Saccharomyces cerevisiae S288C: one gene and its partners. The protein of the gene in region 4 binds, or shares a complex with, the protein of the main gene of each other region. Each region holds a gene or a part of one and is shown on either strand. Other genes may lie near its edges. The genes, in order: PTA1, YSH1, REF2 and SSU72.

Region 1 (8,717 bases), on a different chromosome or scaffold from region 4:
CAATCTCAGTGCCCACTTCTGGCAACTCAACATAGGTAGCGTCCCCTAAGGCATCAGTGGCGTATTTTGTAATTCCGACAAAGGCAGTCTTGTCCTGATGCACAGCTATCCACTCATGTTGGGAAGTGTACCTCACGGCTTGAGGTCCTTGGGATGAGTACAAAAATGGTAGTTTATTCTTGTTTAGGGCATTGCCGGAGCTGTTTCTCAAAAACAATTTGCTCACAGTGGGCATGCGGGTGGTCCATAGTCTAGTAGTGCGTAACATTGTCGATGTGGTATGCTTCATGTGGAGATTCCCTTTCCCATTAGATACTTGTTTGTTGGTCTGTATATATAGAAGAAAGAGTTAGCGAAAGTGACTCCGCCGCTGAATGACTCCTTACGGAAGTGTCAAAATTGCGAGGTCCCTATAGCACAGAATGATAGATAAAACATTGATTTGCAAGTTGAAGGAAGACCCTACACATGCGTATATATGATGTATGTAATGGTTGTGATCATTTTAGCCTGTCAAGCAGTGAATCGCACTGCTTGTGTAAGCCTTCATCTTCTTGCTTTAGCTGATGCAGCAGGTCGCGAACAGTGTCCTGCACTGGGGGTCTAAACATAATGAGAAACTTTAGCGTTTGGAAACCAAGGGAACTTCTTGCCGGATCCAGGCAGATAGGCTTCAGTGCCTCAAGATGATCGCTTTGAAGACTGGGCAGTTCGCTCATAAGTCTGATGAAGAATCGTCTGTGTTTGTTTTCAAGGAATGGACCCAGAGACTCGAGAACTCTTAAGGACCATTTTTTGTAGTTAGAGGGATCTTGATGCAGCGAGGTTTGGAAGAACCATTCTTCATTGAGCCATTCAATGATCAGACTGACACGTTGCTCGAAATCCTGGATGAAGAAGCCAAGCAGTTCTTCACGAATCAGGTCACTGGCCTCTTGTGCTTCGATTCCTCTCGTAACCAATCTGATTAAGACGTGTAACCATGACGAGGAGTCGTCATCGTCCAGTAATATGGAGGAGGAAGACGAAGATTTGGCCCGGGTAGTATCCTGGCGACCGGATAATTCAAACAGTTTCTTGGTCAGCTTTGAGAGGTACTTTAGTTTTTCATCCTGCGTCAATGAGTCAGGTTCAAAGGGGGGTGCGATCTCCTTAATGGCAGAAGTTGATTTGTTGGCATCTCCTGAGATTTCTTGGGCGCTTTCCTCTTCTTGAAGCATCTTCTGCATTCGGTCATCGTCTTCGGGCTCCTCTGGTTCCTCCGCTAGTGGTTCTGTTTCCATTTTGATTTTCTTGCTATTAGCCGTTGGGCCATCGTTTCCAACTTCTTCATTGTCGTTGCCGTCGTCATCATCGTCGGATTTCCTCTTTGATGATGACGAGGACGGTACAGAATTGATGTACGTATTCATTAAATCCGTGTACCTCGAAGCAACGATAGACAATCCGGTGATCAGTTTCGTGCTGTCCATTTGCAAGATGGCCTCTGTGGACAGCTTGATAAGTATGTCATTGGGTAGCTGGGTCACATCCTGGTTGGAGTTCGAACTGTTCATCAATGAGTACACAGATGAGTAGGTGTTGCTGATTGGTTTGGGTGAGTTGTTGAAAAAAGTATTGCCCTGGTGTGAAGCCTTGTTGAGGGTGTATTTTTGCAATATCTTCAGTTGATCAAGCATGTTTTCGGTTGAAGAGCCCGTTGCAGGTGCGGACACAGGCGTGGGGGTCTTTGTGGACACCCCTAGAGTAGACAATAACGCGGATAATTGCCTTTTCCATAGTGAGATGTATTTTAGTTTGTCCTGCCTGGACAACGTTTTCTTGCTATTGCCCTTGGAAGGGTCGAAGTTCAAAATTCCCTTGCTCTTGGTCTCTTCGCCAATAACGTGTAAAGTTTGAGAAATCTTGGTCAGCTTGGAGTAGATCGATGACCCTGATCCGGATGAGAGGGATTTTGTAATGATTTGATTTTTTAGCCCAAATTGCACAAAGTTCTTGTACGCCCTTTCAACAAATCTCTTGGATAGTTTGTAGTTCAAGTCAGACTTGCCCTCTAGGGGAAACTTGGCGTCGACGTTGAAACGCAACAGCCCGGAAAGAATTCTTATTGTTGTCTGCGGCCTTCTTTTGATGACGAAGGATAAAGAATTGATGATACCAATGAAAACGGACGAGACCATGTACTGTTCCTCAATTAGGTAGTTTAGCAACATATCAAGAAGCCTCTTAGCCTCGCTCTCCAAAGCCGGTTTGTTCAACACAGGGTGGTTATCCGGGATGGTAGATGAATTAATCTCGTTGCCGCTGGGTGATTTAGTTTGCGACAGCACGACCTCAGATATGAACTTGATGGTCGCTAATTTCACGCCGATATTTTGGTCAATCTGCGCCAGCCATTGTTCGACATCCGTTTCATCGTCAACGGTGGCACGCAAAGGATATGCAGTTCTCCAGTGCGAGAGCACGAACTTCTTCAGCATACACAACTGATCAAACATTTCCTGGTTTGATGTCTTAGCAACCAGATCCAACACCAGCGGGTATGAAGCGCACATAATAAGCACGATATTCTTGTACACTAGTACGTCCGCGGTGGATTGCGCCATAGCAAGAAGTAGTGGCAGATATTGAGCAGCAATAAACGGTCTCTCAGTATTCGCAATTGGAGAGTCCATCGACACCACGTCTAGAACTAACTGTGTAAAAAACTTGGCCAAAGGCAACTTCAGCTTGCTGAGATTACCGTTGTGGTACATGGATGCCGTAGTTTCGAGCACCTTGGGCAGCATCTCCGTTGGATTGTTGTGCATGGCCAGTGTCTTGGCCTGTAACAATTGTTCCATCTCTGCAGATGACATTGCGCTGCTTAGTGGTAGTTATATGCTTCTTGCCACGATTTAACCATTTGTTCAGTCAAGTACTAACGGTTAAAAGGTATCGAAATATGGCAACTTTTCACTTTTAGATCAAGTCACTATATACGACTTGAACATCAGAACGGCGATTTTCCATCAAGATGGAGTGGAAACCACGCCATTATAAAGGAAAGCTAGTTTTATGTCTCGTATACATGCGGAGTAGGACAGTGATATAACACACATAGCTAGACACAATAGACATCATGAAAAGGTCCACGTTGCTGTCGCTGGACGCATTCGCTAAGACCGAAGAGGACGTACGAGTCCGCACCAGGGCCGGCGGGCTGATCACTTTATCGTGCATCTTGACCACGTTATTTCTGCTGGTGAACGAGTGGGGACAGTTCAATTCTGTGGTAACAAGGCCACAATTGGTGGTGGACCGTGACCGACACGCAAAGCTGGAGCTTAATATGGATGTGACATTTCCATCGATGCCATGTGACCTGGTGAATCTCGATATTATGGACGACTCTGGAGAGATGCAACTAGACATTCTTGACGCAGGGTTCACGATGTCTAGGTTGAATAGCGAGGGTCGCCCCGTGGGAGATGCTACTGAGTTGCATGTGGGTGGGAACGGCGACGGAACCGCGCCGGTTAATAACGATCCTAACTATTGTGGGCCATGTTACGGTGCCAAAGATCAGTCGCAGAATGAGAATCTAGCACAGGAAGAGAAGGTTTGCTGCCAAGACTGTGATGCAGTGAGATCAGCATACTTGGAGGCAGGCTGGGCTTTTTTCGACGGGAAGAATATCGAGCAGTGTGAAAGAGAGGGCTATGTCAGCAAGATTAACGAGCACTTGAATGAAGGCTGCAGGATCAAAGGTTCTGCACAAATTAACAGAATTCAGGGGAATCTTCACTTTGCCCCTGGAAAACCCTACCAGAATGCATATGGACATTTTCATGATACTTCTTTGTACGACAAGACTTCGAATTTGAACTTCAACCACATCATCAATCATTTGAGCTTTGGGAAGCCGATCCAGTCCCACAGTAAGTTGTTAGGAAACGATAAGCGCCACGGCGGCGCCGTAGTTGCCACTTCTCCCTTGGACGGACGCCAGGTGTTCCCGGACAGGAACACACACTTTCACCAGTTCTCGTATTTTGCCAAGATTGTCCCCACCAGATATGAGTACTTGGATAATGTTGTCATTGAGACCGCGCAGTTCAGCGCCACTTTTCATTCCCGACCTCTTGCCGGTGGAAGGGACAAGGATCATCCAAACACACTTCACGTTAGGGGTGGTATCCCTGGTATGTTCGTCTTTTTCGAAATGTCTCCATTGAAAGTCATCAATAAGGAACAGCACGGGCAGACTTGGTCGGGCTTCATCTTGAATTGTATCACCAGCATTGGTGGTGTCCTAGCTGTGGGCACTGTCATGGACAAGCTATTCTACAAAGCACAGAGATCGATCTGGGGCAAGAAGAGCCAGTAGAGGAAGAGACTGTCATAGGGAAGAGCCCTTTCTACATACTACTACATAATATATATATATAGTATAGAAATTGGTATATCACTACTTGTACAAATATCATATTGTACGATAATCGCGAAGAACGACGCACTGGTGGGAAGAAGTGGAAAACAGAAGCTTTAAGGTAGAAACAGAACAAGAATGTGGCTATGGTAGGATAGCAGAAGAGTACCATTGCTGTTATCATTTGTTGCCTAGCCCTATCAAGACCTGTCTGCTAATCCAACCCGAGAGATCATGGCGATCCAAACCCGTTTTGCCTCGGGCACATCTTTATCCGATTTGAAACCAAAACCAAGTGCAACTTCCATCTCCATACCCATGCAAAATGTCATGAACAAGCCTGTCACGGAACAGGACTCACTGTTCCATATATGCGCAAACATCCGGAAAAGACTGGAGGTGTTACCTCAACTCAAACCTTTTTTACAATTGGCCTACCAATCGAGCGAGGTTTTGAGTGAAAGGCAATCTCTTTTGCTATCCCAAAAGCAGCATCAGGAACTGCTCAAGTCCAATGGCGCTAACCGGGACAGTAGCGACTTGGCACCAACTTTAAGGTCTAGCTCTATCTCCACAGCTACCAGTCTCATGTCGATGGAAGGTATATCATACACGAATTCGAATCCCTCGGCCACCCCAAATATGGAGGACACTTTACTGACTTTTAGTATGGGTATTTTGCCCATTACCATGGATTGCGACCCTGTGACACAACTATCACAGCTGTTTCAACAAGGTGCGCCCCTCTGTATACTTTTCAACTCTGTGAAGCCGCAATTTAAATTACCGGTAATAGCATCTGACGATTTGAAAGTCTGTAAAAAATCCATTTATGACTTTATATTGGGCTGCAAGAAACACTTTGCATTTAACGATGAGGAGCTTTTCACTATATCCGACGTTTTTGCCAACTCTACTTCCCAGCTGGTCAAAGTGCTAGAAGTAGTAGAAACGCTAATGAATTCCAGCCCTACTATTTTCCCCTCTAAGAGTAAGACACAGCAAATCATGAACGCAGAAAACCAACACCGACATCAGCCTCAGCAGTCTTCGAAGAAGCATAACGAGTATGTTAAAATTATCAAGGAATTCGTTGCAACGGAAAGAAAATATGTTCACGATTTGGAAATTTTGGATAAATATAGACAGCAGTTATTAGACAGCAATCTAATAACGTCTGAAGAGTTGTACATGTTGTTCCCTAATTTGGGTGATGCTATAGATTTTCAAAGAAGATTTCTAATATCCTTGGAAATAAATGCTTTAGTAGAACCTTCCAAGCAAAGAATCGGGGCTCTTTTCATGCATTCCAAACATTTTTTTAAGTTGTATGAGCCTTGGTCTATTGGCCAAAATGCAGCCATCGAATTTCTCTCTTCAACTTTGCACAAGATGAGGGTTGATGAATCGCAGCGGTTCATAATTAACAATAAACTGGAATTGCAATCCTTCCTTTATAAACCCGTGCAAAGGCTTTGTAGATATCCCCTGTTGGTCAAAGAATTGCTTGCTGAATCGAGTGACGATAATAATACGAAAGAACTTGAAGCTGCTTTAGATATTTCTAAAAATATTGCGAGAAGTATCAACGAAAATCAAAGAAGAACAGAAAATCATCAAGTGGTGAAGAAACTTTATGGTAGAGTGGTCAACTGGAAGGGTTATAGAATTTCCAAGTTCGGTGAGTTATTATATTTCGATAAAGTGTTCATTTCAACAACAAATAGCTCCTCGGAACCTGAAAGAGAATTTGAGGTTTATCTTTTTGAAAAAATCATCATCCTTTTTTCAGAGGTAGTGACTAAGAAATCTGCATCATCACTAATCCTTAAGAAGAAATCCTCAACCTCAGCATCAATCTCCGCCTCGAACATAACGGACAACAATGGCAGCCCTCACCACAGTTACCATAAGAGGCATAGCAATAGTAGTAGCAGTAATAATATCCATTTATCTTCGTCTTCAGCAGCGGCGATAATACATTCCAGTACCAATAGTAGTGACAACAATTCCAACAATTCATCATCATCCTCATTATTCAAGCTGTCCGCTAACGAACCTAAGCTGGATCTAAGAGGTCGAATTATGATAATGAATCTGAATCAAATCATACCGCAAAACAACCGGTCATTAAATATAACATGGGAATCCATAAAAGAGCAAGGTAATTTCCTTTTGAAATTCAAAAATGAGGAAACAAGAGATAATTGGTCATCGTGTTTACAACAGTTGATTCATGATCTGAAAAATGAGCAGTTTAAGGCAAGACATCACTCTTCAACATCGACGACTTCATCGACAGCCAAATCATCTTCAATGATGTCACCCACCACAACTATGAATACACCGAATCATCACAACAGCCGCCAGACACACGATAGTATGGCTTCTTTCTCAAGTTCTCATATGAAAAGGGTTTCGGATGTCCTGCCTAAACGGAGGACCACTTCATCAAGTTTCGAAAGTGAAATTAAATCCATTTCAGAAAATTTCAAGAACTCTATTCCAGAATCTTCCATACTCTTCAGGATATCATATAATAACAACTCTAATAATACCTCTAGTAGCGAGATCTTCACACTTTTGGTAGAAAAAGTTTGGAATTTTGACGACTTGATAATGGCGATCAATTCTAAAATTTCGAATACACATAATAACAACATTTCACCAATCACCAAGATCAAATATCAGGACGAAGATGGGGATTTTGTTGTGTTAGGTAGCGATGAAGATTGGAATGTTGCTAAAGAAATGTTGGCGGAAAACAATGAGAAATTCTTGAACATTCGTCTGTATTGATAAATAAAACTAGTATACAGCAAATACTAAATAATTCAAGAAAAAAACATTAGATAGAGAGGGGCAGATGTTCAAGCTATACCCATTATATTGATCCACACTTAGTATTAAGATACGTCTGTGAAGGATGAAAAAAAATGTATAATGTGACTAGAGGAAGTAAGGAGAAAAAACGATAGTAATCGTATTTTAGGTTGTGCGTTTTTATAATTTTTTTTTTTTTGTAATTCTATGCAAATGTAATATAAGTATATTTAAAGAAATAATGAGTCCTGTGAAAACAAAAAGAAAAAAAGATCATTAATGTATGTTAACGTATTTGCTTTGCAAATTTTAATTTATTTGTTGTTAAATGCATTTTTTTTTTGTCGTTTCAGCGAGTTTTCTTGAGGTTGCTACTATCATTAAAATCACAATCCACAGAGGAAGTTGATCTCTTTTTCAGTTGGGTGGGGGCAGAGCATGGGTGAGCAGTGGCCATGGGTCTAACAGGAAATAATCTTTTTGAACGCACAGATAAATTTTGTAATAATTTTCTATTTGACATTAGAGATGGGGTGGTGGGAGTTAGTGGGCTTGGCCAAAAGATGCTTGAATTTTGTGGGATGCTCAGTGACCTTTTAAAAGAATTTTGGGTAGAAGAGAACGAACCTGAATGTGAATGGTGTGATGCAGAGTCTGGGGTCGTCATTGAACTTGAAGTCTTGTAAGGGGAATTGAATGGAGATGGAGAGGATGAAGATGAGGTTGGAGTGAAGGCAAATGGTGGAGAAATGCTATCTTTGGTCAACCTTCTTAAATGAGTGTGATCCGAGAAATAGTCTGTGGCCGCAGATGAAACCGTAGCGCTCTTTGGAGTAGTAGCATTTGAGTAAACACAAGTCAATGAATCGCTGTCAAAGGACTGAGCAAAGATAGTATTGTACATGGTTTCCAATTCTTGTGAACGGTAGAATTCTTCCAGTTTCAATTGAATACAATAGTTTTGTAATGCGTCTAAGAGAGATTTTGCTAAAGATGTCTTATTGCTATTCAAATATTTTGATTTGAAACTGGAGGGGAAAGAATTTTGGTCCATTGCTATATCCAATAAAGTATTAGAGATTTCTGACAATTTAATATCTAGGTCTTGGCAGTTTTCCTCCAAAGCCAGATTGATATTTTCCCAAAGGTTTGAATTATAGTAGTTCAAAGATAATTTGATGAGGTTAATTGCACCCAGCGCAATTAGTGAACGATCATATTTAAATGATAATTCGAGATTGAAGGAAGCTAACTCGCACAACATAATGGCACCCAATTTGATCTCGTTGATGTTCAAAGAGGGGCCTTGAGAAGAGGACGATTTATTAATAGCAGTACCAGCAGCGTTATTTAATAAGGCCAGTTTCTGTTGAATGAAAGCTTCCAAAGGGGCAGAAAGGACAACGCCAGGCGATAACGGGGACGTAGATTGGAACAAGAAGATGTCGATGTAGGAGTCGAATGTTGCCGACTGACAGATGGA
Region 2 (8,267 bases), on a different chromosome or scaffold from region 4:
ATAATAATGGGCCGTCCAAGGAAGAATGTTAGCCAGGAGAAAATACAACAGTTGAAGAGAGAACTGGAGCTGGCCGGTAACAGGACAGACGTCTTGTTGCAAGACAAAAAGGGCCGTTCCAGGTCTTGTCTTCTTTGTAGAAGAAGAAAGCAACGATGCGACCATAAATTACCCAGTTGTACCGCCTGTTTGAAAGCAGGAATAAAGTGCGTGCAGCCCTCCAAGTACTCTTCTTCCACTTCGAACAGTAACACCAACAACAACACCCCTACAGCTGGCACTGTACCTCCTACACCTCATCCTGTAATAAAACGTGAGCTGCAAGATAGCAGTATTGGCGCTGGCGCTGGCGCTGCCACTTCTCTGAATGACATGACGATAATAAAACCCATTTCCACTAGCAATAGTAATGTTGATGCTGGCGACGCGAATGAATTCAGGAAAACGATAAAGTCCGTCACGACAAATTCCAATCCAAACCTGATGAGGCAAGACAAAGATCAGTATACGATTTTCTTGGAGAAAAAACTAAAAAGTTTGGAGACTTTGCTCGATTTATCGCCGGGATGCAACCAGTACAACTACGAATTATCCCAGTACAAGAAGGTTTCTCATTTGTTCAGTAACAACACTTCTGATTACTCTAGACCGAACAGCAGCAATATGGTCATACTGCCGCTGCCATCTCCTTCCAACAAACCCCTGGAGAACACAAACAATAACGGCAGCAACGTTAATGCGGCCACTAACGATACATCGGCCAGTACGAACAACATAAACAACAATAATGCTATCTGCCAATCCGCGAGCCTTTTGAATGACCCTTTAGAGACGCTGGACTTCACTAAGTGTATTTTTGCCAAATACAATTTGAAAAAAGAGTTTTTGATGTATGACCCTATTTTTGAACTGAATGAGAAGCTGTCACGTTCCTTCTTGGACACTTTTTTCACAAGATTACAATTCAAGTACCCTATCTTAGACGAACAAGAAATCTATACTTTTTATGACCACTACCTCCACAACAAGATTCTTATCCCACCATCTTCTCCCGCCACGTCTTCCGCAGCACCACCGTCGAATTCACATTCGTATTCTGAAATAGAATTTCATTTTCTATCCGGCAGAATGTGGCTTGTCTTCAGCATCAGCGCCTACTTACTGATGACCACAGGTAAGTACAAGGGGTTTCCACCTCACCGATATTTCTCCACCGCTATCCGTCACATCACTAAGTGTGGTCTACATTTGAATTATGTTCAGCAAATAGAACTGTTGACATTGCTTGTCCTTTACATTATTAGGACTGATAGAGATTCTCTGATACTATATGACATAATCAAGGATGTCATGGGCATATCCAAGAAGAAACTTCATCTAAATCAATGGTATCCTAATGATCCATTTGCAAATAAGAAACTGCGACTATTTTGGTGTGTTTACCTGTTGGAAAGAATGATTTGTGTTGCTGTGGGGAAACCTTATACAATCAAGGAGTCGGAAATAAATTTACCTCTTTTCAATAACGACTCTTTTTATACAAAAGGTGTGCATGCGGCGGCTCCATCAACCAATGACCATGGTGTGCAATTCATCAATCAGTCTCTAAAGCTGCGAAGAATTGAATCTCAATTTGTAGAGACTTTACAGCTATTGAAAAACGATTCCAGGTCAGTGAAGCAATCCATTGATCAATTGCCCCTAGTACGAAAATTTTTTGAAGATTTGGAAGTTTGGAGAAAAAGTTATTCCACTCTTGACGTGAAAAATTTCGAAAACGAGACACTAAAACTTTATTACTATAGATCAGTGCGATTGCTTATACAACCATATTTGGAATTTTTCGCCCCGGAGGATAGACTATTTAGAGAATGTCAAGCTGCTGCGGGTCAAATTTGTCAGTTATACAAGATATTCCATCAAAAAACGCTTAATGGTCATTCTACACCAGCAGTGCATACGGTTTTTGTAGCTGGCGTAACTTTAATCTACTGTATGTGGTTAGCCAGGAATTTTGACGATCAAAGGAGGAAGAAATTAGGCGATGCTTCGAAGCATACTAGACCTTTAATCAGTGCAAGTCTCTTTTCGACGATGGATGATTTGAGAGCTTGCTCCGTTTGTTTATATGTTATGACAGAAAGGTCTAATTTTGCAAGAACCTTTAGAGATACTTTCGATCAGTTAATGAATGCCACGGTAGGTAATTTGATTGAAAGATGTGGTCCAGACTCTTCTGAGTTAATTTTCATGGCTAGTAGTGTCGCCAAGCGTACTGAACCCAAGAACATCAATGATGAGGCCAATAAGGCAATTTCATCTGGGGATACTCTTCATGATTCTAACTCCGCAAATGCAGCTAATCTATCCAATTCAAACGATAAAAATATATCTCATAATGGCGGTATGCCGCCTGCTGTGGCTAGAATATTTGGTAAAGGACAAGCTGAAGAGCACGCCGGTTTTGTGGAAAATTCACAAGTGGATTTGGCTGAACAAGAGAAATTCAAGAAGAAGCAAGGTGTTTTAGAAAAGACCTCTGTACCCAAAAGTTTAGCTCACCTATTAACCAAAATGGATGACAGGTCACGTATTTCAAATTCTTCAATGTCTTATACAACATCTTCTTCGTCATCATCTTCTTCTTCGTCATCATCGTCGACATTATCGTTTCCTTCTTCCCAAGAAAAAAACCTGAAAATCAATGTAAACAATGATAACAATGGTATGACCATCAGCAGCGTCAACAGAGAACACAACAATAATCACAACAATAATAATGATAATAATAATAATAATAACAATAATAATAATAATAGTAATAATAATAATAATGTTAATAATAATGATAATGAAAGTAATAGCAGAAGCACTACCAACAACAGCTGCAATAATGGCAACAACAGCCAGTATGTTCGTAACAACAACGTAACTATGGAAAATGATGTAGAAAGGCCTATTCAAGACCAATATATCGTCAAGAAACCAACCAACCAAACAGAGTTTGATTGGCAAGTATTTCAACAGCAGGCCTTTCTACAACAGCAACTAGCTCAGCACAATTTACAAGCGTATCTATCGTCCCTGAACACCGATACTATGACCAATAGAAGTCCTTCAAAATCTTCTAGCATATCTACAGCCTCTTCGCATTCGGATCCGATTCCAATAGCGATGACGCAAAGCCCAACTCCATATCCTCAAACTTCCAATATGCTACCGCAACAGCATGTATCACGACCACTGCCGCAACAACAGCGGGAGCAGCCACAACAACATATTACTTCTCCACAAAGATTCTCAGAAAGCAATTTTACGAATCAATTAAACAATGGTATGATCAACAGTAATCCTCTACAATCTGCAATATTCTCTAACCATACAAGTGAAAATAAGCAATTAAGAGATGTCGAAGAATCAAATTTCAGTACATCACCCCTAAGAGCAGATTATGGCAATAATATTATCTCCTCGATACCAGCGTCATTTACTAGCAATTCAATTCCGGTCAGTGTCAAACAAGCTCGAAATGGCTCTTCTTCGGGCGATATACTTTTCAGCAACGGTGCTCATGACATGATCAACAATATTTCCACCTGGACCAATAACTCCGTTCTAGATGCTTTGAATAGCAAGTCCATACTACAAACAATATTTCCCCAGAGTCAAGAGCCTTCATCTCTGTCCATGGACAAACAGCAGCAACAACATCAACAACAAAATATGTGTTCTGAAAACAATGTAACCGCTAATAATTTTCAACAGACGCAGAATGACCCTTCGTATAACAGAAATTTGTTCATGATGTCCAATCAGGAAGGTGTACAATATAATCTTGACGAAACAGAGAAGAATGGACCTAAAACACAGGTGGAAGCAAACACTAGCGCAAATCTGCATTTCGACAATGTTATTCCTACAGTAACTAACGCAGACATCAGGAAAAAGCGTTCTAACTGGGATAACATGATGACATCTGGTCCGGTAGAAGACTTTTGGACGATTAATGATGACTACGGCTTTTTAACGTGATACTACATTAATATAATAGTATGTACAAACTCATTCCTTTTTTTTTTTTTTTTTTTTTTCTCTTTTTTTTTAAAAGAACAACTAAATCGCTTTTTTTAATTATGATATGGGTCATATCTTATAAGCCTAATCTAAAACACATTTTTTTCTTTCATTTATATTGTTTTTAAAATCAATAAAACTCTTTCTTTCCTGTATAAAGTCCTCTCCAAAAGACTAAGTAGCGTGTTTGCAAATAAATACGGGTAAGCAGTTATTCTGGCCGAAAATTATGAAAAACTAGCGGATCTTTAACAACTTCTACTGCTTCAGCGCAATACATATTGAGATCACATCTAATAGGTTCAAAATGTTCACGGGTATAAGCGTTTATTTCTTTTACCCTTGTTTTCAGTACTTCAAAAGTTACAGCACAAAAGAAACATTGTATTATCAATTGAATTTTGTCCATTGAGGAAATAAAAAGTAACATAATAAGTTAACATTAATAAGTATACGCATATATGGAGCGAACAAATACAACAACATTCAAATTTTTTTCATTGGGAGGAAGTAACGAAGTTGGACGATCATGTCATATATTGCAATATAAAGGTAAAACAGTGATGCTCGACGCAGGAATTCATCCGGCATATCAAGGATTAGCTTCATTACCTTTTTACGATGAATTTGATCTTTCCAAAGTCGATATCTTACTGATATCACATTTCCATTTAGACCATGCCGCTTCACTTCCGTATGTGATGCAACGGACTAACTTTCAAGGCAGAGTTTTCATGACACATCCAACCAAAGCCATTTACAGATGGCTACTGCGAGATTTTGTAAGAGTTACTAGTATAGGTTCTTCATCCTCCTCTATGGGGACTAAAGACGAAGGTCTATTCTCAGATGAGGATTTAGTTGATTCTTTCGATAAAATTGAAACGGTGGACTATCATTCTACTGTTGACGTCAATGGTATCAAATTTACGGCATTCCATGCAGGCCATGTATTGGGTGCAGCGATGTTTCAAATAGAGATTGCTGGCCTTAGGGTGTTATTCACAGGTGACTATTCGAGAGAAGTAGATCGTCACTTAAATTCTGCTGAGGTGCCTCCACTTTCATCCAACGTATTAATTGTGGAATCTACCTTTGGTACCGCTACTCACGAGCCCCGTTTAAATAGAGAAAGGAAGCTAACCCAACTAATCCATTCCACAGTGATGAGAGGAGGCCGTGTTCTACTGCCTGTTTTTGCTTTAGGGAGAGCTCAAGAAATCATGCTTATACTGGATGAGTACTGGTCTCAACATGCTGATGAACTCGGTGGTGGACAAGTCCCAATATTTTATGCATCAAATTTGGCAAAAAAATGTATGAGCGTTTTTCAAACCTATGTAAATATGATGAATGATGACATTAGAAAAAAATTTAGAGACTCTCAGACTAATCCCTTCATATTCAAAAATATATCTTATCTTAGAAACTTGGAGGATTTCCAAGATTTTGGTCCCAGTGTGATGTTGGCCTCACCAGGTATGCTGCAAAGTGGGTTATCAAGAGATTTACTTGAAAGGTGGTGCCCTGAAGATAAAAATCTAGTACTAATCACCGGTTACTCCATCGAAGGAACAATGGCGAAATTTATTATGCTTGAGCCAGATACAATACCTTCCATAAATAATCCGGAAATAACCATTCCAAGACGTTGTCAAGTTGAAGAAATCTCCTTTGCCGCACACGTTGACTTCCAGGAAAATTTAGAATTTATTGAAAAGATTAGTGCGCCAAATATCATCCTTGTTCATGGAGAAGCCAATCCCATGGGCCGTTTGAAATCTGCATTGTTATCCAATTTCGCGTCTTTAAAGGGTACAGATAATGAAGTCCATGTTTTTAATCCTAGAAACTGTGTTGAAGTAGATCTTGAATTTCAAGGTGTCAAGGTTGCAAAAGCTGTGGGAAATATTGTGAACGAAATATATAAAGAAGAAAACGTAGAGATAAAGGAAGAAATTGCGGCTAAAATTGAACCTATAAAGGAAGAAAACGAAGACAACTTGGATTCTCAAGCAGAAAAAGGTTTGGTTGATGAAGAGGAACACAAAGACATAGTCGTTTCTGGGATTCTAGTTTCAGATGACAAAAATTTCGAATTAGACTTCCTTTCTTTGTCTGATTTAAGAGAGCACCATCCCGATCTTTCTACAACGATATTAAGAGAGCGCCAGTCAGTTCGTGTAAATTGTAAAAAGGAGCTAATTTACTGGCACATTTTACAAATGTTTGGAGAGGCTGAAGTTCTTCAAGATGATGATAGAGTAACAAATCAAGAACCAAAGGTTAAAGAAGAGTCAAAAGACAATCTGACCAATACAGGTAAATTGATTCTACAGATAATGGGTGATATTAAGTTAACTATTGTTAATACTCTAGCCGTTGTGGAATGGACTCAAGATTTAATGAATGACACTGTAGCAGACTCCATTATTGCTATACTTATGAATGTGGATTCAGCTCCCGCCAGTGTCAAGCTTTCGAGTCATTCTTGTGATGATCATGATCATAACAATGTGCAGTCTAATGCACAAGGTAAGATTGATGAAGTTGAGAGGGTGAAGCAAATCTCAAGGTTGTTTAAAGAACAGTTTGGTGACTGTTTTACTTTATTTCTCAATAAAGATGAATATGCAAGTAATAAAGAGGAAACTATAACTGGAGTGGTTACCATAGGTAAAAGCACTGCTAAGATTGACTTCAACAATATGAAAATTTTAGAATGTAATTCAAATCCTTTGAAAGGTAGGGTGGAAAGCCTCTTAAATATTGGTGGTAATTTGGTCACACCGCTATGTTAAAAACAGTTACGCATACTAAGTAGACTACTTTATAGAAGTAATACCAAACCAAAATCTGGTTAGAACTGCCTTTTATTGTTTACCTTAATCACTCTTTACGTAATGAAACCTAGAGATGAAATTTTAAAAATTTTTTTTCACGAACATAAAGAATAACTCTTCTAGACCATCTCATCTCATCTCATCTCATCTCATTTCATTTCGATTCTTCTAATTTCTTTCATTGAGTAAGAGCCTTTTGTTTTGGCTGATAGTTATAGTCAATCTACAATTTATCTCACAAAAGAAATAGACTAAGCCAAAACTGCAACGAAAGATCAAAAAAATGAGCTATGAGAAAAAGTCTGTGGAAGGCGCTTATATTGACGATTCTACAACGTTCGAAGCATTTCATCTCGACTCTCGTTTATTACAAGCTATTAAGAATATAGGATTTCAGTACCCAACATTAATTCAATCACATGCTATTCCTTTGGCTTTACAACAGAAGAGAGATATTATAGCAAAGGCCGCTACAGGTTCCGGAAAAACTTTGGCATACCTCATTCCTGTAATTGAAACTATCCTAGAATATAAAAAAACAATTGATAACGGAGAGGAAAATGGTACACTAGGTATTATACTTGTTCCAACAAGAGAACTGGCTCAACAAGTATATAATGTTTTAGAAAAACTAGTCTTATATTGTTCAAAAGATATAAGAACTCTGAACATATCATCCGATATGTCTGACTCAGTTTTGAGCACTCTACTTATGGATCAACCAGAAATCATAGTTGGTACACCTGGTAAATTATTGGATTTGTTGCAAACAAAGATTAATTCTATCTCATTGAACGAACTAAAATTTTTAGTAGTTGATGAGGTGGATTTAGTGTTAACATTTGGTTATCAAGATGATTTAAACAAAATTGGAGAGTACTTACCATTGAAAAAAAATTTACAAACATTTTTGATGAGTGCAACCCTAAATGACGATATACAGGCTTTGAAACAAAAATTTTGTCGTTCTCCAGCTATTCTTAAATTCAATGACGAGGAAATAAATAAGAACCAAAACAAATTACTTCAATATTACGTTAAAGTCAGTGAATTTGACAAATTCTTACTATGCTATGTCATTTTTAAACTTAACTTAATCAAGGGTAAAACATTAATTTTTGTAAATAATATTGACAGAGGATATAGGCTCAAGCTAGTTATGGAACAATTTGGTATCAAGTCCTGTATTTTAAACAGCGAGCTACCCGTTAATTCGAGGCAACATATTGTTGACCAATTCAATAAAAACGTTTACCAACTATTGATTGCCACAGATGACACCGAGTACATAAAAGAGGAAGATGACGAAATAGAAGAAGGGCACAATACAGAAAATCAAGAAGAAAAAAG
Region 3 (7,506 bases), on a different chromosome or scaffold from region 4:
GAAGGTGATTTTATCGGTGAAATTGCCAATAATGACTTAAAGAAAAGAATTGATTGTTTGATTATTGTTGGAACGAGTTTGAAGATTCCCGGAGTGAAAAATATTTGCAGGCAGTTTGCGGCCAAAGTCCATGCAAACAGGGGTATTGTGTTATATTTAAACACCAGTATGCCGCCTAAGAATGTGCTAGACTCTTTGAAATTTGTAGACCTAGTTGTACTGGGAGATTGTCAGCATGTTACCTCATTATTATAGAAAGTATTTGTCCTACCAAAAAAGGTTGGAGATAAAATTAATGCATTTTTCATTAGATATATATATATATTCATATATATTGTTTAAGTTACCATTTTGTATGTTTTTCTTTGACCTTACTATGCAACCAATGCAGGTGGTGGAGGTATATCAGGGACAAGGCCTAGTTCAAACTTGTTTGCTCTGAATATTTTCAGTGTTTCCTCTGCGAGATCGGCCAATTCTAGAATACCGTCCTTTTCAGAAGATAACCCTTGAACAAATCTAATTTTTCCGGTGGCCGTATTAGCGTTGACATTAGTAGCATTCATCTGTTGTTGTCCAAATCCAAAAGAGGTTGCGTTACCATTGCTCTTCAAACTTATGTTCGGATCTGTGTTTGGCATTGTTTGCCCAAATGAAGGGTTCGATTGCGAGACTTTGTTGGCATCGTTTTGTGGTGTAATTCCGAATGAAAACCCTTTATTACCAAAAGAAGATTGAAAGTTGCCATTGGTATTTTTATTGAGGTTAGAAGCAGAACCAAAGGTGCCCCCAGAACCTCCGCTAAAAGGAGATTGATTATTCGTCGTTCCGAATGCGCTACTGCCCACGTTATTGTTGTTGTTAGCTTTGGAGGTTGTAGTACCAAACGGCGAAGAACCAGCGCCTGCTCCGCTCTGTAGATTACTAAAAGGTGATTTGTTATTACTATTAGTTCCAAATGTGCCAAATGGGGATACTCCTGTCCCACTGCTTGTACTTGTATTTTGAATAGTACCAAATGGCGACTGGGTATTAGTAGCTGCGCCGAAAGTCGGTTTGCCAAACGCTGACGATGTAGATGATGCATTTTGTGATGCGTTTTGTTGCAGTGAACCAAAAGGAGAAGTTGTGGTCAAGGGCGTGTTTGACGCAGCACCAAATGCGGAGTTATTACTATTACTAACCGAACTAGAAGGGATAGCAGTTTTGTTCGCTCCAAAAGCTGGTTGACCAAATGCAGAGCCCATTGAGCCAGGACTTTTACCAAAAGGATTACTTGTCGCCGCCATAGCACCAAAACCTGTTGATCCAAATGACGGTGCTCCAAATGCTGACGTAGTAGAAGGCGGATTAACATTGATGGGGGCGCTAGAACCAAATGCTGGTGCTCCAAATGCTGACGGTTTAGCCGCATTACTGGTGTTCCCAAAAGCGCTAATTGACGTATTGCCAGTATTGCCTGTATTGGTACCAAACTGGGGCATTCCAAATGCTGAAGTGGTGGTTCCTCCTGTCATTGTGTTTGCTGTTCCAAAACTAGGTCTTCCAAATGCACTTCCTCCCATGTTATTGGTACTAGCAGCATTATTTGTGAAAGGGTTGATACCACTTGTATTAGAAAGATTAGGCTTAGCACCCGACGTGAATGGGTTACCGAAAGCTGACATTACAGTTGAGTCGTTGCTCGGGTCGAAATTTAATGATAGCTTGATGAGCTTTTGCGTTAAAGTACAACAGTTCAGTGTTATAGTACTTTAAACATTGTGCGCTCATCTATTGATTCACTATTTTTTTTCAAATACCTTGCACCCTCAGTCGGCGTGTTTCTTGATATGCAGAATTAATATATTTCTAGATGTCAGTATATTAAGGTTAGCCCTTTGAAACGTATTATGATGTCGTTACCTTCAGCGTCGTGGTTTAGGTTTCATGTCTTGTCCTCTCGCGAATACTTTTATTTCGAAGCTAATTTACTATATAAAGAAGGTTGAAATCGCATGATAAGCTAAACAGCGTAAATAGAATTGCCGGAGCAAAATTCGTATAAGACATAATTTCCCTCCAGGCCGTAGCCAGATTAATGCTCAGTACACTGTAAAGAATTTTTTGTTTATTTTTAAGATAAGACAAGATGTCATTGATATTATTGCTAGATCACTAACAAATGGTATTTATTGATTTTTCTTTCGCAGAGCGGCACTTTAACTAGGATTTAATCATAAAAAAAAAAGTGATTGACACTGTTATTCAGTTCTGGACTATCGTATAGACTATTTTCATTGTTAATAGGCTCAGCTGTTCATAAAATATGTGAAAATTTTTCAACGATTACCAAGCCCACGATTGTCTCGTTGGCAATATTCAGAATGAAGTTTTCGTAATATGGCTATGTCCGTGATCAATCGCCTAAGACACCCTGACTTTTCAAGTAAATTCTCAAAAGCTTTCTTCCATCCGTTTAAATAAGAATTACAATGTTAGAATTACTTTTCCTTTGAGAGGAGGAAGAGCGAAAGTAAGAATGGAGGTACCGGTCGTAAATAAGCATTGACGAATAAATATACCAGTAGGATCTTCGTATAGTTATCATTTTAAGAGAATAGGAGAAGAAAAAAAATTTTTGTTTAATATTTATATACTAGGTATTTACACGTGAAAGTATTGAATCAAGATGGGGTCTAAAATACAGGCGTCTTAATAGAGGAATTGTTATTTAAAATACAACCCACATCTCTTGGTCCTCCTTTTTTATCTTTTCTAATATATGTTGCTGTTTCTACTGGAGTAATTATTTTTATCATTACTACGGGAGAATGAGCGTCTATTGTTGTTGCTGCGTCTAAACGGTTCGTCATCGTAATCTCTATTTTGGCTCCTATTATTATAGTTTTTGTTGCCTCTGAAAGAAATTTCTGAATCATCATCATAATCGTAGGACTTGTTATTTCCATCTCTACTACTATAGTCTCTAATTTCAAACATTGCCTTACCAATTGGACTACGGCTCAAACCTAATTTATCTAAAAACCTTCTGGATACTGGAATCTTTAATTGAGGATCATTTAACAGTACACCATAAGTGGAAGCAATTTCAGGAAGTATGCGCCTTTCAGAAAACCTGTATTCCTTGATACAGGATCTGTAGGATGAGATTAAACTTATTACAATATCTGATATGTCTTCCGGTTCTTCGGTCACTGCCTCTAGGACCTCAGATTTTATTTCTTCACTGGGCTCATATTTTTCTTGTTTGGCAATGACTATATTTTTTGCATCTTCCAACTCTCTAACAAATGGCAATTCATCTTTACAAATGAATAGCACAGAAGATCCTTCTTTCCCACTTCTGGCTGTTCTACCAATTCTATGAATATAATTAGCCAACTCAGATGGAACACCAATTTGCAAAACTTCGTGGACGTTTGGGAAATCCATACCACGGGCTCCCACATCCGTACAAACCAAAATACCGGATTCATCTTTTTTGAATCTTTTAACTAAACTTGTTCTTTTATTTTGAGTAATTTTACCATGAAATTCCAAAATTGGTAAATCTTTCTTAAATTCATTCTTTAAAATACTGCACAAAAAGGATGTGAATTTAACAGTTGGTGCAAAAATAATGGCTTTGTAATTAGAATCTCTTTCCTTTATTTGTTTCTTTATATGCTCCACAGCAGCAAATATACTATTGGCAAACTTTTCTGAAATGACGACAGACTGATCAATTCTTTCATGTGCTTCAGGTTCATTCTTATCTACTGTGTCTAAAAAGAGACATTCTTTTTTATTCATGATATTGTTTGCCAACTTTTGTACTTTGTCGTCCAGAGTAGCAGAGAACAACAAAGTCTTGATATTATCGGCTGATTTGGAGTTCTTTTCATTTAAAATACCAGAAATAGTTTCTAAATCATCCCTGAATCCAATTTCTAGCAATCTGTCAGCTTCATCTAGCACTTTGTAATCTACGAACCTAAAAAATTTGTTGGAGTATTTTTCCAAAACATCAATCAATCTCCCTGGAGTGGCAATTACAATGTTTGGTCTCAACTTATTCATTTTATTCATAGCTGCCCTGAAGTCAGTACCACCAACTAAAGAGACACAAGCGTACTTTTTCAAGCCATAATTCATATCGTGGATTTTTTTCACCTCTGCTTCGATTTGCAAGGCCAAATCTCTTGTTGGTGCGACAATAACAGCTTTTACCATATATTGAGAATCGAACTTCGTATTTATCAAATGCTGGAAAATTGGAATCAAGAAGGCAAATGTCTTACCTGTACCGGTTTTAGCTCTTGCGATAACATCATGGTCTTCACTGGATAATATTGGTTTGATAGTCTTTTGCTGTACAGGAGTTAAACCGGGAAATTCCATCCTGGTAATGGCTTTATGTATTTCTTTATCAAGGACTCCTTCCTCCAGTAAAGAGTCCAGCGTTACTTCTTTACTATTATCTTCTTTTGGGACGTGAATTAGTTTGGAAAAAGTGGTCTTATCAAAGTGCACTTCATCATCGTCTTCTCTAGACCTTGTCCTTGGGCGAGAATTGAAACGGGAGTTTCTATACCTGTTACTGTTGTTGTTTCTCTGATTCCTACCAAAATTTCTTTGATCTCTGTTTCCATCATTGTATAATCTTCTTGAAACAGCCCAAGTAATATGGTTGCAATTCGAGAGAGCTGCTAATAAATTTCTGCTTGCAAGAACAGGTGTGCGACCTTTTATCAATATAGAGGTCAACATTTATCAGCCTAACGTGCAACTCTGGTATTTTCTTGCCACTCTGAGACACCATAGTGGCCATCAATACTTCCCTTCTTTTTATAGGAAAATTTTATTCTTTCTATAATATCACTACAGACGGAGAATGAAACAGATGATGATTGAAGCATCCATAAGTAAAGACACTTTGAGGTTGCTAATTTGCTTTTTTGAAATAAAACAGTGCCATATATCACTCCAGCCTACTTGTTATTATCAGAATTGGGTACGGTATTCATCTATATATTACCAGTTGTAAATCACGATATATCACGATACACGACTCTCCGGCGCCAGCGTTTTTCGTCAGTTTTTCTCAAGGCGGTATAAAAAATCGATGATATTCGATTGAGGCACTTGTTAACAAGCATACACTGTTGGAGGCAGAACAAAACAAGCATAACTCTTTTGTACTGTATTGTACTCTACCGCTCTGTATCACGTCGGCACACCAACGGTTTCTTTTGGCGGGTCTATTATATATATTATATATACTTTTATCAAGACATCGTGTGAGTAAGTGAGGTTAAAGCTCAAAAACCTACAAGCAAAGGCACAAGGAAATCGAAAGGACCAAGAAAGGAAAAGAAAAGAAACGATACGATAAGTAAAGACACTGTGGAAGAATTGAACAATGTCAGCACCTGTTCCTCAATTAGTAAATATTTCTCATGCCTTGCAAGCTTCCACTATCCAGCAAATTCGTTTGGATATGGTAGATTTTAATAAAGATTGCAAATTATCTTCCATTCAACTGGCAAGAATTGACAAGTATATCGATTCTTTGCAAGCGGCTTTGAATCAGTTTACCAAAGATAACTTGCACATAGAACGGAAGGAAAAGAACGTGACTGAAGCAGATATACAGCTGTATTCTGGCTTAAAATCAATGTATCTAGATTATTTGAACCAGCTAATTAAACTAAAGCATGAGAAACAACACCACTCTACACCGCCCATCGCTAATGATGTCTCCCTGGACTTCTTCGTTAACCAATTGCCTAAGTTTTCTCCCGAGGAAAGGAAAAATTACATTGACAATTTAATCCTGAATAAAAATAGCCATAATCGATTATCTAAAATGGATGGTCTGGTAGATGCAGTCATCAATTTATGCGTCTTGGATACTTCCGTTGCTGAAAATGTACGATCCTATATGAAATTATTAGATACATTGGGTTTCCAAAAGGGTTCGAATAGTACTGGTACAAAGGCCAACCTCAAAAAGAAATTGGCTAGTTCGAAAGCAAAGATAAAGGATTCAGAAAAAGAAAAGGAGAAGGAGAAGGATAAATCAAAAGTCAAGATGAAAACTAAATTAAAACCTTCTCCTTTGCTCAATAACGATGACAAAAATTCTTCTCCATCGCCTACTGCATCTACCTCTTCAATGAAGAAATTGAAGTCGGGTTTATTCAATAAAAATGAAGCTAAGTCTACAGAATCTCTACCTACTTCTTCCAAGAAAAAACTATCATTTTCTAAATATCTGAACAAGGATGACGCAGATATGACCAAGCTTGGGACTAAACGGTCAATAGATGTGGATTTCAAAGTCAACCCCGAAGCATCCACGGTGGCTTCTAATATCATATCTTCGTCAACGTCAGGATCGTCAACCACAACGGTAGCGACTCCTGCTTCTTCAGAAGAGCCCTTAAAAAAAAAAACCAAAATATCCGTGCAAGACTCTAATGTACAATCGATTTTGAGAAATGGTAAACCGAAAAAAGCACGCATAAGTAGCATCAAATTTTTGGATGATTCCCAACTAATAAAAGTTTACGGTGACGATCTACCGAACCAAGGGCTACAAGTTTCTCCTACTCAATTGAAAAAAATTCTGAAACCATTCAAGGAGGGGGAACCGAAGGAAATTATATTGTTCGAGGATATGTCAATCAAATTAAAACCTCTTGATTTGATGTTTCTGAAGAACACAAACAGTGATGACTATATGGATATATCCGAGACTAAAGGTGGCCCAATACATTGTGAAACAAGGACCCCGTTGATCTATAGAAAAAATTTCAATCATTTCAACCCGGACTTGAATAAAAGGCCGCCAAGAGAACCCATAGAATTCGACTTAAATGGAAATACGAACTCAACCCCGACTATAGCAAAGGCTTTCGGTAAAAATAGTTTATTACTAAGGAAGGACAGAGGTGGTTTGCCATACAAGCATGTCCCCATAGTAAAAAGAAATAAATATCCTCCAAGACCAGTACACTAAGCTATGACATGCTGATACATAAACATGTAGTATATATACTCATTTTATATAATGTAATTATAAGATATCAACCTTATACCGCTGAAGACTTTTTATTTTGAAGTTTTTTCATCAGTAATCTGGACATGACGATGCTACTGGCACTTACGGCCCCAAAAGGTGGGAAATACTCCAAAACAGTTCTTAATTTACTAGGTTGGATTTTTTTTACAACACTTTCAATCTGTTCGTATAAGTCAACCAATGTGCTGTTATTTTGTAGGATATAGTCAGATCTTGCCATCCTTTCTTCAGTGCTCATTTGACTATTTAGCCTGTTTTTTGCATCTTCTTCACTAAGTTCAGGATTTCTTGTCATTAATCTTTCTAGTTGCAATTCTTGCGTACAAATTACGCTTACAGTCACTCCGCATATTGAATCCAGATTTCCTTCAAATAAGAGTGGCACATCCAATACACACATTCTATATCCCTTCAAGTAATAGTAGCCAATTTCTTTG
Region 4 (6,620 bases):
AAATTCATCTTTAATATTTTGAATATGGAGTCCATATGGGTATTTCTTGAGCATATCGTTCGAATTTCTATTCTCCTGATCAATGAAATCTTCTTTGGCTTTTCTTTTCTTTGCTTTGGTTTCTATGCGTTTACTAAACTTACTTTGTAACGTCTCCAACGTTTCTGTATCCAGCGCTAAGGCGTCATCGATGAGTAGCTTCTTCTTCTTACCTTTACCCTTAGTTTCCAAGGACTTGGTTTCAAATGTTTTGAATCTTTCTGTATCATGTTTCAATGTGTATGCAATTAGGTCGTCCAGACCCTCTTCAATGTCGCTATGCACAACCGAGGAGGCCATATCTTCATCATCTTCATAGCTGTCGCCTTCATAGCTGTCACCTTCATCACTCGAATCAGAAATCGGAATATCTGAGTAGGTTGGCTCAGCTGGTTCAATTTTTGGTATAAGAGAATTTTTAATAAAATTCAAATATGCAGGTAATCTATCTTCAGGAAGACCTAACTCGTCTACAACGAAGTCTGTGAGTAAGTCCTGGTCAATCCAATGAAAGTCGTAATCTCCCAGTAATCTGTAACACCGTAGATAATATGAATTGTCTACTCCGCCCATTCTTATATTGGAGACCACTATGTCATTAGTATTTATGACAAAATCTTCTTCTTTGAATCCAAATTCTAACTCTTCGCTAGCAGGAGATGGCAGATTATCATTATTGCCTTCGAATGTTTTGGTACCATTTATTGAAAGACATTTTATATCTTCTGTCAACTGCGGACTAGGGCTTGGTAAAAGATTGTTGTCAGCTCGGGAATTGTGACGTTGGCCAACATAATTAAACCCTTGATCAACCTCAGAACTTGCTGAGGATTCGTATAAAGGTTCACTATTATTCTCTGTTTCTATTTCGTAGTCTAGTTCATCATTGTCCGAGTCGCTAGTATGCATACCATGTAATACGTTGGAAATGTAACCAGCAAATGGATGATATGTCTTATTACCCTTATTTGGAACGTCAACACTAATTTCCTTGCTTTCGTTACCTTCGGAAACGCTAAGTTCAACCTTTCCAATTGTTAAGATAGGATCGAACTCTATCGCAACTTCTCTTGGCCTTGCGATTTCCTCGATACATACTCTTTTTATTTTGGTTAGATCCGGCGATTGCTGAGCCTCTTCATCTACAAAAAACAGGTCACCATCTTCAACTTTGCTTTCATTCGAAGACAGCGAGTGGTCCGTCGAGGGTGAATTCTGACTATCATCATCCTCGTTTTCACTGTCTTCATTGTTAATATATTCAACATCAGAAGTCATCTTTCCTGGTTCTTCAAAAACGTCTGCTTCCCTTTCGACAATTTCTTCACTGTTCTTTGTTTCGTTCTTTGCTCTCAGTTTTTGAATCATATTGTGGGATGGATCGTAAACTTCCTTAGCTTTTACAAATTGCATAGGTCTTTTGCGGAATGCTGCCCTTCCTGCTTGTAGGTCAGTTGAAGAATCATATCGATTACCTGGTCTTAAACCACCCATTTTCATAGAACGGCTCTTGGCATCGCGACCAAAATAATAGTCTTCTATAGTTTTTGGTGATATGAATGCTCTTCCTGGGTTGAAGTCGGCGCCTACATCATCAAGATCACCTTCTCCTAGTGGTATAGAAGAGTTATGCCAACTGTTAGTGGGAGTAGGTTTTTTCTTTATCTTTCTGCCTTGTATGCCTTTAGCATTCCCCCTGCCAGCTTTCTTGGAATTGCTACCACGTGCATGCCTACGTCTGCTTCCTTGATAATGACTATGCCTTTTTGCCATTTTTTTTGACGGTTACAACAATTTATGCTTATATTTGACTCTGCGATTAAATCACTTCTTCCTTCTAGAAACTCTGCGCAGGCCTAATTGTTGTTGTTTTGTTCAGATCTTATTTAATTGTAAAATGTCAAATTTCACTTTTATTCTTTAGGCGGTGACCGTTGCAGCTGCCAACAATAGCGCCTCAAAGGAAAAAAGTAAAAATATACACACAATAACGTTAGTAGATGAAGAATGGACGACTTCTTATCACGTATAGGAGTGATATACATGCAGAGGTGGCTACAACTGTGGAAAATGGATTTGGTACAAAAAGTGTCTCATGGCGTTTTTGAAGGCTCGTCCGAAGAACCGGCTGCTCTTATGAATCATGATTATATAGTATTAGGGGAAGTATATCCTGAGCGAGACGAAGAATCTGGCGCTGAACAATGTGAACAAGACTGTCGATATCGCGGTGAAGCGGTTAGTGACGGGTTTTTAAGCTCTCTTTTTGGTAGGGAAATTTCTTCTTACACAAAGGAATTTCTTTTGGATGTACAATCAAGGGTCAACTTTACATATCGGACAAGATTTGTTCCTATAGCAAGGGCGCCAGATGGGCCTTCACCTTTAAGTCTAAATTTATTAGTACGTACAAATCCGATCAGTACAATAGAGGACTATATAGCAAATCCTGATTGCTTTAACACTGATATTGGGTGGGGGTGTATGATAAGGACAGGACAAAGTTTGTTGGGGAATGCCTTACAAATCCTTCATTTGGGCAGAGATTTCAGGGTAAATGGTAACGAAAGTCTGGAAAGAGAATCAAAATTTGTAAATTGGTTTAATGACACGCCTGAGGCTCCATTTTCGTTACATAACTTTGTTTCTGCAGGTACAGAACTCTCTGATAAAAGACCAGGTGAATGGTTTGGTCCCGCAGCTACGGCAAGGAGTATACAATCTTTAATATATGGCTTCCCCGAATGTGGCATCGATGATTGTATAGTATCTGTTTCATCCGGCGATATCTATGAAAATGAAGTTGAAAAAGTATTTGCTGAGAATCCAAATAGTAGAATATTGTTCTTGTTGGGCGTGAAGCTCGGGATTAATGCGGTAAATGAGAGCTATAGAGAAAGTATATGTGGTATCTTAAGTTCAACACAGTCAGTAGGCATTGCCGGCGGTAGGCCGTCTTCATCGTTGTATTTTTTTGGTTATCAAGGAAATGAATTTTTACATTTCGATCCTCATATTCCTCAACCGGCAGTAGAAGATTCATTTGTAGAGTCGTGCCATACCAGTAAATTTGGTAAATTGCAACTATCGGAAATGGATCCCTCGATGCTCATTGGTATTTTGATTAAGGGCGAAAAAGACTGGCAACAATGGAAGCTAGAAGTTGCAGAATCTGCTATTATCAATGTTCTTGCTAAGAGAATGGATGACTTTGATGTGAGTTGTAGTATGGATGACGTGGAAAGTGTAAGTTCTAACTCAATGAAGAAAGATGCAAGCAATAATGAAAATCTCGGAGTACTAGAGGGAGACTACGTAGATATTGGTGCAATATTCCCACACACAACAAATACAGAAGATGTAGACGAATATGATTGTTTTCAAGATATTCATTGCAAGAAACAGAAGATTGTTGTTATGGGAAACACACACACTGTTAATGCGAATTTAACAGATTATGAAGTAGAAGGCGTCCTTGTAGAGAAGGAAACGGTAGGTATTCACAGTCCTATTGATGAAAAATGCTAGTGTAAGGAATTCACTAGTTCATAAGCATATATACTTGTTTTAATATATTCCCTAAAACTGAGGTATCCAGTTCTTTTGTTCTTATTCGTTTGATCATCCTTTACGTATTTTTCGTCTGCGGCAGTGGAAAGAACTTAAAAAACGAAAGATAATAAAGAAAAAGGCCAGTCGGCACGAATTAAAGACCACCTGTAAGAAGATTAAGACAACGGTGGTATAAACTAGTGTCGAAGTCCAAAATGCCTAGTCATCGCAATTCAAACTTGAAGTTTTGCACAGTTTGTGCATCAAACAACAATCGTTCAATGGAATCGCATAAAGTCCTGCAAGAAGCAGGCTATAATGTTAGCTCTTACGGAACAGGTTCAGCTGTGAGACTGCCTGGTCTATCGATAGATAAGCCTAATGTGTACTCATTTGGTACACCCTATAATGATATATATAATGATCTTTTATCACAATCAGCAGACCGTTACAAGTCGAACGGTTTATTGCAAATGCTGGATCGTAATAGAAGACTCAAAAAAGCACCTGAAAAATGGCAAGAAAGTACAAAAGTCTTCGACTTCGTTTTCACTTGTGAAGAGAGATGTTTTGATGCCGTTTGTGAAGATTTGATGAATAGAGGTGGGAAATTAAACAAAATAGTGCATGTAATTAATGTTGACATTAAAGATGATGATGAAAATGCTAAAATTGGTAGCAAAGCTATATTGGAATTAGCTGATATGCTCAATGATAAAATAGAACAATGTGAAAAAGATGACATTCCCTTTGAAGATTGTATAATGGACATTTTAACTGAGTGGCAAAGCTCACATTCTCAACTACCGTCATTATACGCTCCTTCATATTACTAAACAAAACGGTCAATTACTGTAGAAAAGCATAAGCATTAAGCGGCCCTCATGAATCCTACATTATCCGTGAAATTTCAATACTTTCACAAGTCTTCGATAGCTTCCTAGTTATATTCATTATATAATATTACGTTTCTTGTTGCGGCTCTCTTAAGCACATTATTTGCTTGTTGTCCACATAGCTATTTTTTTATCAAGAAGCTTGATATACAACACACTGTATTTTTAGTAAGCTGGACAATGTCTTGTCTCAATGTAGCGTATAACAGGTTTCATTCCAAAACACATCACCAGATATAGGACTGAAATGAAGAAAATAGAAGCATGAAACTTTAAAAGTTTCAGTACTTTAAGAAAGAAATAAATAGAAAAATGTTCCATTTATTTCTGAAAATAAATCAAAAATTATAAGATCCACCCGTTCCTACCAAGACCTTCCAAAATTTTTCCCATAACGGGAACGAGCAAAGTTGAGACTGCTCAAAAGAGCACATCTTCAAACTACAATCCCGACCAAATAATCTCAACAGCCATACCTTCATCATAAACTTAAGTTCATTCGAATCTGCCGTCAAAAACTAAAATGGCACGCTAGAGAAAAGTAGTCAAAAAGAATGCCTCTACAAAGCTCTCTTTTGAAAGGCCCCAGCTCCCCTAACACCAATTTGAATTTGGTGTCAAACTTCTCCAGGCAGAAGAAACAAAGGGCCCCAAAAATCAGTTTAACCCAAAAATCCCCAAAGGAATCAAGGGATTAACCAATGATTGAAACAAGGGAATGGAAACGTCAGCAAACACGCCTTCCGCGCCGTATGTGTGTGTGACCAAGGAGTTTGCATCAATGACTTCAATGAACAATTATAGTTCAATGATAAATGCTTAACGTCCTTCTACTATTGGAAGCGCATGTTTGATCAGTAGGACTTCTTGATCTCCTCTGATATCTTAAGGTAAGTATGAGGATTTTAAAAAAATTCAAGAAAAAACTATATTTTAACGCTAAAAGTATGTTTGTAAAATAGTTCTATTAAATGGAACTTCTTCTCTCTATTTATACGTCTTGCCAATGGAAAACTCGTCGCCTTAGAAAAAAAAAAGGTGCAAAGACGGGTAATAATTTCATTGACATTTTCAAGAGCTAGGGAATGAATCAATGAGCCCTATGATGGCAGCGTAGATCACCGTATTTAAATTAACATATAATAAGATTTGTTGCCACTTTCAATCTCTAAATGTGTACGTATAGAGTTCCAGGAAGCAAAAAGACCATTATTGCGCGATATGATTGCTATTTGCCCTCTGTATACATAGCTTTATAGGATATCGGTCGTACATATAATTCAGTTCAGTTCATTATACGGATATTTTCGACCACTCCCCCAACCTATAAGTGTTGGTACCTACATTTCTGATCAGTACATACCTAGTTGGTTGCCGGATGGCCGCATGATGATCTATAAATCCGATTCCCATACCATTTCCACAATTTAAGTGGTAGGTGCCGCTGGTAATAAAACCAATCAAATCATGTACCTCTGGAAGTGGAATTTTCAAATCATGATCTTTTCTTCCGTTTGGGCGGTAAACCCCTTTTGCCAATTGTAGCCAATGCTCTAAGTCCTTTTCTGGAACTTGATATATTCTTGCATTGTCCTTTGGGTGACCTCGTTCGAGTAGTGTGCAAGATACAGCAATGATACAACGTGGGAAGAATGTAAGGGAGAATGAAGAACTATTGACGCTAATGCTATCAGGAGTGCGAAATTGACATTTCCGATTTTTACACAATGCAACTGGTATGTTCTCTTCAATCGACAACGACATAGCCTTGGTCTTGGCTTCATAATCTTTGCAAAACTCCAAAACATCATTTACACAGTTGATGTCTCTTACACCCTGAGCGTTAAATTGCCCGGTCTTCTTACTGTCCATCAGTTCTAAGGTTTTATCATTCCGCTGTAAATAATCAATTCCATTTCTCAGTATTTGTAAAAATCTCCAGTCTGAACTGAAAAAATCGCCGATTTCTCCGCTATATGCCGGTAATTTAGTGTTATGGATGTCTTTGATCTTCTCGAAATTAATCCTTTTTCCCATTGGCTTCCTATCCCACTTCGTCTTGGAGGCCTCCTTTTTATAAAATGAGTTTTCTATATAACCCAATTGAGTGAATGGATAATCATCCGGAAAATA

What was found.
Region 1: SSU72 (region 4) and PTA1 share a complex: the UniProt entries of both Saccharomyces cerevisiae proteins name them as parts of the APT complex.
Region 2: SSU72 (region 4) and YSH1 share a complex: the UniProt entries of both Saccharomyces cerevisiae proteins name them as parts of the cleavage and polyadenylation factor (CPF) complex.
Region 3: SSU72 (region 4) and REF2 share a complex: the UniProt entries of both Saccharomyces cerevisiae proteins name them as parts of the APT complex.

Annotation. Positions count from the first base shown.
Region 1 is NC_001133.9:58,195-66,911, forward strand, and holds PTA1 (RNA-processing protein PTA1), read right to left. Parts: upstream 2,859-8,717; coding exon 501-2,858; downstream 1-500. Other genes in the region: GCV3 (glycine decarboxylase subunit H), read right to left, coding at 1-268; retrograde cargo receptor ERV46, read left to right, coding at 3,122-4,369; Rho family guanine nucleotide exchange factor CDC24, read left to right, coding at 4,646-7,210; cyclin CLN3, read right to left, coding at 7,584-8,717. UniProt on the Saccharomyces cerevisiae protein: Essential in pre-tRNA processing. Component of the cleavage and polyadenylation factor (CPF) complex, which plays a key role in polyadenylation-dependent pre-mRNA 3'-end formation and cooperates with cleavage factors including the CFIA complex and NAB4/CFIB.
Region 2 is NC_001144.5:695,764-704,030, reverse strand, and holds YSH1 (cleavage polyadenylation factor subunit YSH1), read left to right. Parts: upstream 1-4,535; coding exon 4,536-6,875; downstream 6,876-8,267. Other genes in the region: YLR278C (uncharacterized protein), read left to right, coding at 7-4,032; DBP9 (ATP-dependent DNA/RNA helicase), read left to right, coding at 7,201-8,267. UniProt on the Saccharomyces cerevisiae protein: Component of the cleavage and polyadenylation factor (CPF) complex, which plays a key role in polyadenylation-dependent pre-mRNA 3'-end formation and cooperates with cleavage factors including the CFIA complex and NAB4/CFIB. Has endonuclease activity.
Region 3 is NC_001136.10:843,195-850,700, forward strand, and holds REF2 (RNA-processing protein REF2), read left to right. Parts: upstream 1-5,404; coding exon 5,405-7,006; downstream 7,007-7,506. Other genes in the region: NAD-dependent histone deacetylase HST4, read left to right, coding at 1-255; FG-nucleoporin NUP42, read right to left, coding at 375-1,667; MSS116 (ATP-dependent RNA helicase), read right to left, coding at 2,758-4,752; YDR194W-A (uncharacterized protein), read left to right, coding at 4,877-5,029; CAB5 (putative dephospho-CoA kinase), read right to left, coding at 7,080-7,506. UniProt on the Saccharomyces cerevisiae protein: RNA-binding component of the cleavage and polyadenylation factor (CPF) complex, which plays a key role in polyadenylation-dependent pre-mRNA 3'-end formation and cooperates with cleavage factors including the CFIA complex and NAB4/CFIB.
Region 4 is NC_001146.8:225,288-231,907, forward strand, and holds SSU72 (RNA polymerase II subunit A C-terminal domain phosphatase), read left to right. Parts: upstream 1-3,806; coding exon 3,807-4,427; downstream 4,428-6,620. Other genes in the region: SQS1 (Sqs1p), read right to left, coding at 1-1,812; cysteine protease ATG4, read left to right, coding at 2,083-3,567; ribonuclease P/MRP protein subunit POP1, read right to left, coding at 5,781-6,620. UniProt on the Saccharomyces cerevisiae protein: Component of the cleavage and polyadenylation factor (CPF) complex, which plays a key role in polyadenylation-dependent pre-mRNA 3'-end formation and cooperates with cleavage factors including the CFIA complex and NAB4/CFIB.